2 linked regions of the Caenorhabditis elegans genome follow. The protein of the gene in region 2 interacts with the protein of the main gene of each other region in a pairwise test. Each region holds a gene or a part of one and is shown on either strand. Other genes may lie near its edges.

What was found.
Region 1: the proteins of ddi-1 (region 2) and rad-23 interact in a two-hybrid assay, tested with the Caenorhabditis elegans proteins (2 studies listed by BioGRID).

The regions. Positions count from the first base shown.
Region 1 is NC_003280.10:11,650,704-11,654,710, forward strand, and holds rad-23 (UV excision repair protein RAD23), read right to left. Parts: upstream 2,027-4,007; 5' UTR 2,026-2,026; coding exon 1,954-2,025; intron 1,908-1,953; coding exon 1,824-1,907; intron 1,775-1,823; coding exon 971-1,774; intron 917-970; coding exon 905-916; 3' UTR 559-904; downstream 1-558. Other genes in the region: coa-7 (Cytochrome c oxidase assembly factor 7 homolog), read right to left, coding at 1-300, 347-445; rpn-12 (26S proteasome non-ATPase regulatory subunit 8), read left to right, coding at 2,424-2,513, 2,558-2,613, 2,660-2,735, 2,809-3,204, 3,256-3,390; nep-1 (Neprilysin-1), read right to left, coding at 3,770-3,869.
Region 2 is NC_003282.8:6,520,934-6,525,137, reverse strand, and holds ddi-1 (Protein DDI1 homolog 1), read right to left. Parts: upstream 2,272-4,204; 5' UTR 2,265-2,271; coding exon 2,193-2,264; intron 2,146-2,192; coding exon 2,041-2,145; intron 1,995-2,040; coding exon 1,628-1,994; intron 1,578-1,627; coding exon 1,432-1,577; intron 1,381-1,431; coding exon 1,152-1,380; intron 1,098-1,151; coding exon 968-1,097; intron 914-967; coding exon 793-913; 3' UTR 567-792; downstream 1-566. Other genes in the region: C01G5.5 (NADP-dependent oxidoreductase domain-containing protein), read right to left, coding at 275-373, 427-498; gtnt-2 (Glycosyltransferase family 92 protein), read right to left, coding at 2,920-3,325, 3,371-3,477, 3,520-3,678, 3,736-4,024. UniProt on the Caenorhabditis elegans protein: Aspartic protease. Required for the cleavage and activation of transcription factors such as isoform a of the transcription factor skn-1, which in turn regulates the expression of proteasomal subunits such as rpt-3.

The sequences.
Region 1 (4,007 bases), on a different chromosome or scaffold from region 2:
TTCAGCCTTTTCTGAATCAGCTTTCCGATCTTTTTCTCCATTCCAATGAACAAGTGATAAATATCGACATCCTTGTGGAATATTCGCATCACATGCGATTTTCATCGGTCGAATCATTTTTGACAGACTTGCATCGTCTCCAACTTTTCCGGCTAACATGTACATTCCGTACTTGAAACATGACTTTGGATAACTGTTCTCGTCACAGTTCTTCTTGAAAATCGCTACGGCCGCTTGAAAATTTTGTTGCAGAGCTTCCATGTATTCGCCGAGCAATTGACAGGATTCTGGCCTTTTTTCCTGAAAATTTAACTTCAAAGAAAGATTGAAAATTCAAATTTCTCACTTCGTAGCATCCAAATCTGTACTCAATCCCAATATTTTTCACATATTCCGCCCTTTCGGCCTGTTCCTGCATAGCTTCTTCGCTTATTTTTCCAGACATCTTCAAGTAAAGTGAATTAGCGCATATTCAGAAGAAATGAACGACCGATATTGGAGTACGAAATCGTGATGACTCATTGGGTAAAGTTTGATAAATCGAAACGAAGAATCATTAAAACATTTGACTTTCATTTGAAAATGTTGGATGACAAAAGGGAATTACAATACCGAAATTATGTCACACAAAATTCGCTGAACGCGACGAGAATTTCAACGAAGTGCCTACCAGTAGCGGGTGACAATCAGCACATGGAACTGAATGTGTTATTATCTTAAATATATAGACAAAGGGCAATCGAGAAGGCGATGAATACACATTCTTGGAAGAAGTGTTAATAAAAAAATTAGGCTGATAGGAGCAAGAATATAAGCTTTACGGAAATGGGGGAGAGAGAATAAATTAATTTCTGTTGCAATTTCCAGTGACGGTGATCAGAAGTTATTGGCATGGGTAAGATAATTATTCCTCATCCTGAAATAATTAAAAATTAAACTTCTAATTATCTACGTATGGAAATAAACTCACGAGGTTGCTGAAAATAAAGTTGATAGCGGCTTCCTCGTTTTTGTCACATGCGAAATAAGCCTCCACAACCACAGCTTCTGGTGCATTAACAACTATGGCTTTGATTCTCTCAATAGCAGCAGCTTCTTCGGGACTGAGATGGATAACATGGCGACGTGGGGTGTTTCTTTCTGGCGCATTTCCTGCAGCGGCTCCGGCTCCTTGAGCTCCACCATTCAAAAGATCCATGAAAGCTTGCTGGTTGTTCTGAATAGTCTGAACAAGTCTTGGGTTGACAGCAGCCAACTGCTGAAGGACTGCGGCGAGCATTTCAGGATTTTGTTGAATCAAAGCTCTAATTTCTGCAAGCTGTGGCATGTTTGCAAGCATGTTAAGATCGTCATTGCCATCCTCATCCACGTTATCGATGTTTTGCTCGGGCCCCAAATCTGGTTCTTGGTCAGCAGCATCATCAGGAAGTCCGTTGAGAAGAAACTCGACTGCGCGGTCTGGATTCCAGAATGCTGCGCGCAGAGCAGCGATAGTTTGTTCACGGTCATAGCCCATTCCAGTGATTGCGAGAACGTTCTCTTCTTGCTCATCCGTAAGCGCCTCCGCCTCAGCAGGAGCAGCAGCTTCAGGAGCAACATCGGCAGCTGGGGCTGGGTTTGACGCAGGAGCGGCAGCTACTGGAACAGGCTCAGCAGCTGTGGCAACGGTAGATGAAGGTGCAACTTCTGTGACTTTCCTTTTGCTGAGCATCACAACAACGAACTTCGAAGAATCGAATCCGACTTCTCCGACCTTCACAGAATCGTCGAGAATCTAAAAAAAAAACATACTTTAAAGATATTATGAGCCTTCACTGTAATACCTTTCCGTTGTAGATTAATTTTTGAAGTTCTGGAGCATAATCATCCCCTTTCTCCGAAGCGACCAGAGCCTTTACTTCCGCAATCTGAAAGAAAAATAAAATACAAGTCGAACATTAACTCTAATCTTACCGTCTGATCTTCATTCAATTCCAAATTGAAGTTAACTTGTGTGAGAGTCCTGAATGTAACGGACAAAACCATCCTGCAAAAAATTGTGAAATGTTACGAATAGAGTCATGTATTGAAAGAAAAAGAAATAAATATCGATAACAGATTGATATTAATGCAAAACAAGCAGTATATATGTATAAAATAAACAAACATTTGATTATTAATAAAAGAACAAAACAAAAAAACCATTTTGAAGAACAAAATAAGTGGTAAAAAACAGAAGAGAAAATGGCTTGGCGTCTTAAAGGCGCACATGATTTGAACACTCTTCGTGGCGAGACCTGCCAGAATTGTCATTGTGTCGATTTACGGAGAATGCGTTTATTTCTTTTTTGAATGTTTTATTTTTATTTTTTAACTTCACTTGTGTTTATCGTGAACTTTTATCTTCGATTTTATCAAATTAAAACATTATTGGATTTAAGAAAATGTCTGCCGCCCATAAAAATCTTCTGGCTGTGTGGGCAAAGGAGCCAAAAGATCTTGTCGCAGTTGAGAAGGCTCTGAATGAGTTGACGGTCAGTTAATTGTTTGTCAAATTGTAAATAAATTGAATTTTCAGAAGGTTCTCAGTGCCTCCAGCGATTTGAATGATAAACAGTCTGCATTGGCTTCAAAGTAAGATTTTTCTTTGGTGTAATGAGTTTAAATTATTAATTTTCAGAGATTTGTACGAGATTTCGGTGCTCTTGGCAATTCTGAAGCACGATTTCGAAACGTTCGACGATTACATCAATCAGGTGAGTCTTTAAATAATTATTTGGAAAATTTATGTAATTTTTAACGATCTGTAAATTATTTTTAATTTTCCAGATGCATACCTACTATACAATGGCGCCAGAAAATTCTGAAAACAAGCATTTAATGACTGGACTCCATCTGATGTTCCTGCTCGCTGCCAACAGATTGTCCGACTTCCACATGCTCCTCGAACAAATTCCACAGAAAGAGCAAACATCAAACGCTTACATCTCTACGCCAGTTCGTATTGAACAGAGTCTCATGGAAGGAGCCTACAACAAGGTTGTGCTCACCGAGAAGAATATTCCAAGCCCCTTCTACACTATTTTCATTCGTATTATGCTTGACACCATCCGTCGCGAAATCGCAACATCTATCGAGAAGTCTTTCAAAGTTCTGACAGCGAAGGATGCCACGGTCATGCTTCTGTTCGACAATGACGAACAAATGAAAAAGTTTGGACAAGAGGTAATAATGATTTTTAAAGCTACAAGTATTAAAAAATATATTTATTTACAGAGAAAATGGCATTTGGATGGAGAGCGTTACGTTTTCGAAATTGAGGTGGCTCAGGAGAAGCCTGTGAATTTGGATACAGTGCGAGTCGCAACTCAAACCCTCTTCTACGCCAAGCAACTCGAACAAATCGTTTAACCGGTGTCTTTCAAGAACTCAAGCATTGTATTTGTAAACTGATTTTAATTTATTCGCGTCTTTTTCTCGGTACTGTAAGAAAATGAACTTTCCGATGCATTGTTTTAGCAAGTTTTAATTACATCTGAAAATTTTATTTGCACAAAGATTTCTGGAATGAACAAGAACATCTATCAATATGATATACCAAAAAAAGAAGTTGGAAAAATTCGAGAAAAAATACATAGAGGGACAAAATACAGTGAATTCGAGTGTCTATTGTTTTCAACAATATATACAGCTAGATGAGTAAAAAAAAAGGACGAAAGATTTAGTAGATTCTGAGAGACAGATAGATAAAGCGTGCCAACTTGGTTGACTCCTTTCCCGTATTTTCTGATTACCACACAACACAGCGTTTCGTTGGATTCATCGGAGATCCAGCTGGACATTTGAAAGCCTCGGCAAATTCTGGCTGATTTGTTAGAACCGTGTTCACTCTGAAAAAATTATAAATAATTGTTGCCAAAAAAGTTGAATGAACGATGATGTGTATTGCGTAACATATTTTTGAATATCTTGTAGCGAAAACTACATGTAAATAGTAAATCGTCTACTTATGGAAATAAACTCACGAG
Region 2 (4,204 bases):
TTTTATTGATTTTCACACGAATGATAAAAATGGTTGTGTCTTTAATTAAGAAAAACTACGAAAATCAATTATAATTCATGGTGCAACGTGAAGAGAATGGAATTACAGTACTCTCTAAAGGCGCACACCTTTTCGCAATTAGCAAACATTTGCCGCGCCGAGACCGCGTAACGTATGTTTGGCACAAAACGCGAGTCTGGGTAATGATATATTTTCTATCAGATTCTTTTTTTCCTAAAAAAGCATGTTTGCGTTTTATTTCGTTAATTCATACTTTAAGAGCTAAACCCAAATCCTTTTCATTTTCATAGTACTTCGCTGTGTCGAAACTACGGTATCCAACTTTGAGTGCTTCGTCGACAGCTGCGAAAAGCTAAAAAAGGTAAAATAAAATAACGAAGTTCAAAAATAAAAAATATTCCAAACCTGATCACCTTTGGCTTCGTATGTCCCGAGAGCCAATTTCGGAATTTCTTGTCCGTTCTTCAGCTTGAACATTGCTGCTATTTACAAAATCTATTATACAACCTGAAAAACGCCTGTGGCAACAAAATGGACAGCGAAAATGAAAAAAAAATATATATTTGAGATATTTACTGGGAATTTCCCATGGGAACAACTCGTGGTAGTTTCCATGGAGAAAAAAGAAGTGATACGCACAGAAAGAGTGTATTTGCAGAAAAAAAAGAATTCCGTATAATATTTGCAGTGAAGAAAATACAAGTAAAGTGGCATTGAAATGTTTTTGATGAAAAGACAAGGAGATTTGAAGGATAAATTGTAGGGGCGGAACTATGTGGATCCATCTTCGAATTGCATTTCTTCTTCAGGAAGTGCCATAATCTCTTTCAGATGAGAATCAATTTCATTGGATTGAAGGAATGGAGTTGTTGTTCCGTTGCCAAACTCCAATCTCAAAAAGAAAAAAAAATTTAGATTTCGCGAGATTTTCGTGAGGGAAACATACCGTGAAGTTTTCAGATTAATACAACACCCATGCTTACGGAGCACATTAAGCCCGATGAGAAGATCCATCTCACGACGAGCCATTACCTCGAATGGGCATGAAAAGTGAGCATCTTCAACTTTCACATCGCCTGAAAACATTTATTAAAATGAATGTGAATCAATGTTGGAAACTTTTGACTCACATAAATGAATCTTTCCCTCGATTTTCTCTGTTCCACCAACTCCTCGGGCCATTGACTGGAACCGTCTATCGATTAATCCATTAAGACCACAACGTTCAGCACATGCCATTGACATGATCGATTTTTGAGCTCCAGAATCAATGAAAGCTTTGACTGGAACACCATTTATAGTCAAATTGATGTAGAGCATTGTGACGGCAATCATATCTTCTGGGTGGTGGGTCATTGACTGAAATTATAACAATTTGTATATATTTACAGGCTTCTATTGTAAACTTACGTGTAAATATTGTTCATCAATCAGTTCTTTATTTCTTTTCGCTTCCAAAAACATTTTTGCTTCTGCTGAATTTGGATTGTTTTTGATAATTTCTTCCTTGTGAACTTCTTCTTCGACGTAGGAACGGAACATTTGCTCGAATTCCTCTGAAAATTAGATAGGCGTCAGATAAAGATTTAAAAAATGCGCTACTCACTGTAAGTCATATCTTTTTTCGCCAAAAAGCGTTCAACAAGTTCCGGCAAACCGTAGCCCAATTTGTGTGGCTCGTTTTTCAAACGGAAGAACATATTTTCTGAGAGCGCTTTGAACGTCGCAGGAGAATCCAAAAGTTTCCGAGAGAACATCGATTTTTCACCTTCATCATCTTGTTCAACTCTCCGTGTTCTCTGAGCAGACTGTGCTGAGGAAGACGATTGTCCATTAAAAATACTCGACGCAGCTGAAGCGAATTGCGAGATGAGCCGGACTTGTGCTGGAACGATCGATCGGAGATCTCCAGACGGACATGGGAACGCAGTGGTATATATGTAAACCATTGAAATTTGAGTGACGCCAAGTTGCTGAACTTATAGTATGATTAAGATTTTCTTTAACAATTCGATTTACCTCTAATGTCACTGTTGGACCAAAATTCTTCGATTCATCCGAAATATCGTAGACAATTGCAGTATCTTTCCAAATCAGTATTGCGTCGTTATTCAGATCACCAATCTGCAAAAAAATTGAATAAAAGATTACATTTAAGTATTAAAACTAACAGTTGTGTTTGGTGTAACACTTTTCTTTTGGAATGGTCCATCGTTAACGGCTACGCTCACTTGGAAAGACATCTGAAAATTAGAAGAATAAATGAGAAATGAGATTGAAAAAGGAAGAATGAGAAAAAATCGAAGAACATTTGCGTATTTGTAAATGAAAACGCTGCATCTCTAGAGCATAAACGCATCTAATCGATGAAAAAATTAATTACACAAAACCGTTCTCTCGGGAAACTTTTTGTCCTTTCAAATAAAGATTCGAAAGTTAAAAGAATGGAACCTGAGAATTTGTGAAGTAGAACATTTTAACTTTAACTTTATAAGCTTTCTCGACAACAGCTGTTCAAAAAAGTGTAAAAACTTGTCTAAAACTCGAGAAATTCTCGTGATGAAGGACGAAAACGGTGCAAAACGATGACAAGGAACAGATATGAAAGTGCGCCCCGCTGAGAATTTTTGAATTAAAATTGTGAAATGACTGTAATTTTTGCTGGAAACTGCCAGTAAATGAGGAAATATGTGTTTTACGAAATAAATTATTATTGCTGTCGTTAAAAATTCACGATTTTGAAAAAAAAACTTAACATGTTTTTGCTTCAAAAATATTTTTCCGAGAAGCTACAGTATTCCGACGCAAAATGTTTGGTATAATATTTTTATTCTCTCAAAAATACATCAAAATACAGAAAACAAAACAAATCAAAAACATTTATTAACCCGTAATGTTCTAAAATTTCGCAATAATTTTTGCAACCCTTTCAATAATACGACTAGATAAACCAGGAGATAGTTGAAAATGGAAAAAGTTGCCAAAAGATTCGGCTTCTCTTAAAAAGAAACTCCATCCTTTAATCAATCGATAGTGTCGGACAACTGCAATTTCTGGCTCCACAAGTCGGACTCCATAGATCGGATTTCGGAACTTTTGAACTCCGTGCACACCCATCGAGTCAACATTTCGGGACCGAATAATCGATTTTGTAGTATGATTCTGCGGTGCCACGTGGCTGGTGTTATGCCAAGTAATCATTGGAAGATTCTCAATTTGAGGAGCACCAGAAGAAATTTCAGAATATCGAAGAGTCCATTGACAACGAAAACGTAGTTCAGAGATTTTATGATCATTGCAATTTCTGTCAATATAGAGAGTTGGATAAAAAAGTAAGCAAAATGAAAACCTGATATAATCTAAAAGAGTAGATTTCTCATCAATCATCATGATCCTTTCGTCCAAATCAACCGTTGCCACCCAGCTTGAGTACTTTTGAGTTCGGAATACACAGTCCTGAATTAATTTTATTTTTAAATTAAAATAATTGAAACAAACCTGTAACTGCATCTCATGTCTGCATCTATGACGATTTAGACATTTAGTTTCATTTCCCATTTGTATTACTTCAAGGTTTGAGGAATTTCTATAGAAATCCAAAACATTTTCAGTTTCCTTTGAGATGTTGAATGAGTAAATTAGAAAATGGTCAGCGCCCTGAAATGCACTTTATTTCTAAAAATAACTACTCTACCGTAACCCCAAGACACTAACCTGCAACTTATAATATTCAATAAATTCCATCAACATCAACACTTTCGGAGATTCTCCATAAAGTGGAGCAAGACATACAGTAAACTCTGATTTGTTCTTTGTTTCTTTTTCTTTGTAAATCTGCTTCATATTCCCTGGAACATCCTTTTTGTTTATAGTTACAGCAACGAACTCGGCTTTTACTGAGGAACTCTCCGAGCACTTTATTGTTAATTCGGGGAAAACTGCCACGGCTTTCTGATAGATTTCCTGCCTATTTTCATCGAATAAACGACAGTAGACACGTCGGCTGAAAATAATTATAGATATGGAATGCTCACTAAGCTTAATGGAGCTGCTGCTCAGGAGTAGTCACCCGATCTTTGACCAACGTTTGACCCCTAATATTTAAACATTGCAAAAAGTAGTGATTTCGGCTTACATTCAGACATTCAACTGAAATCTATTTTATTTGAAAGAGTACGTATAA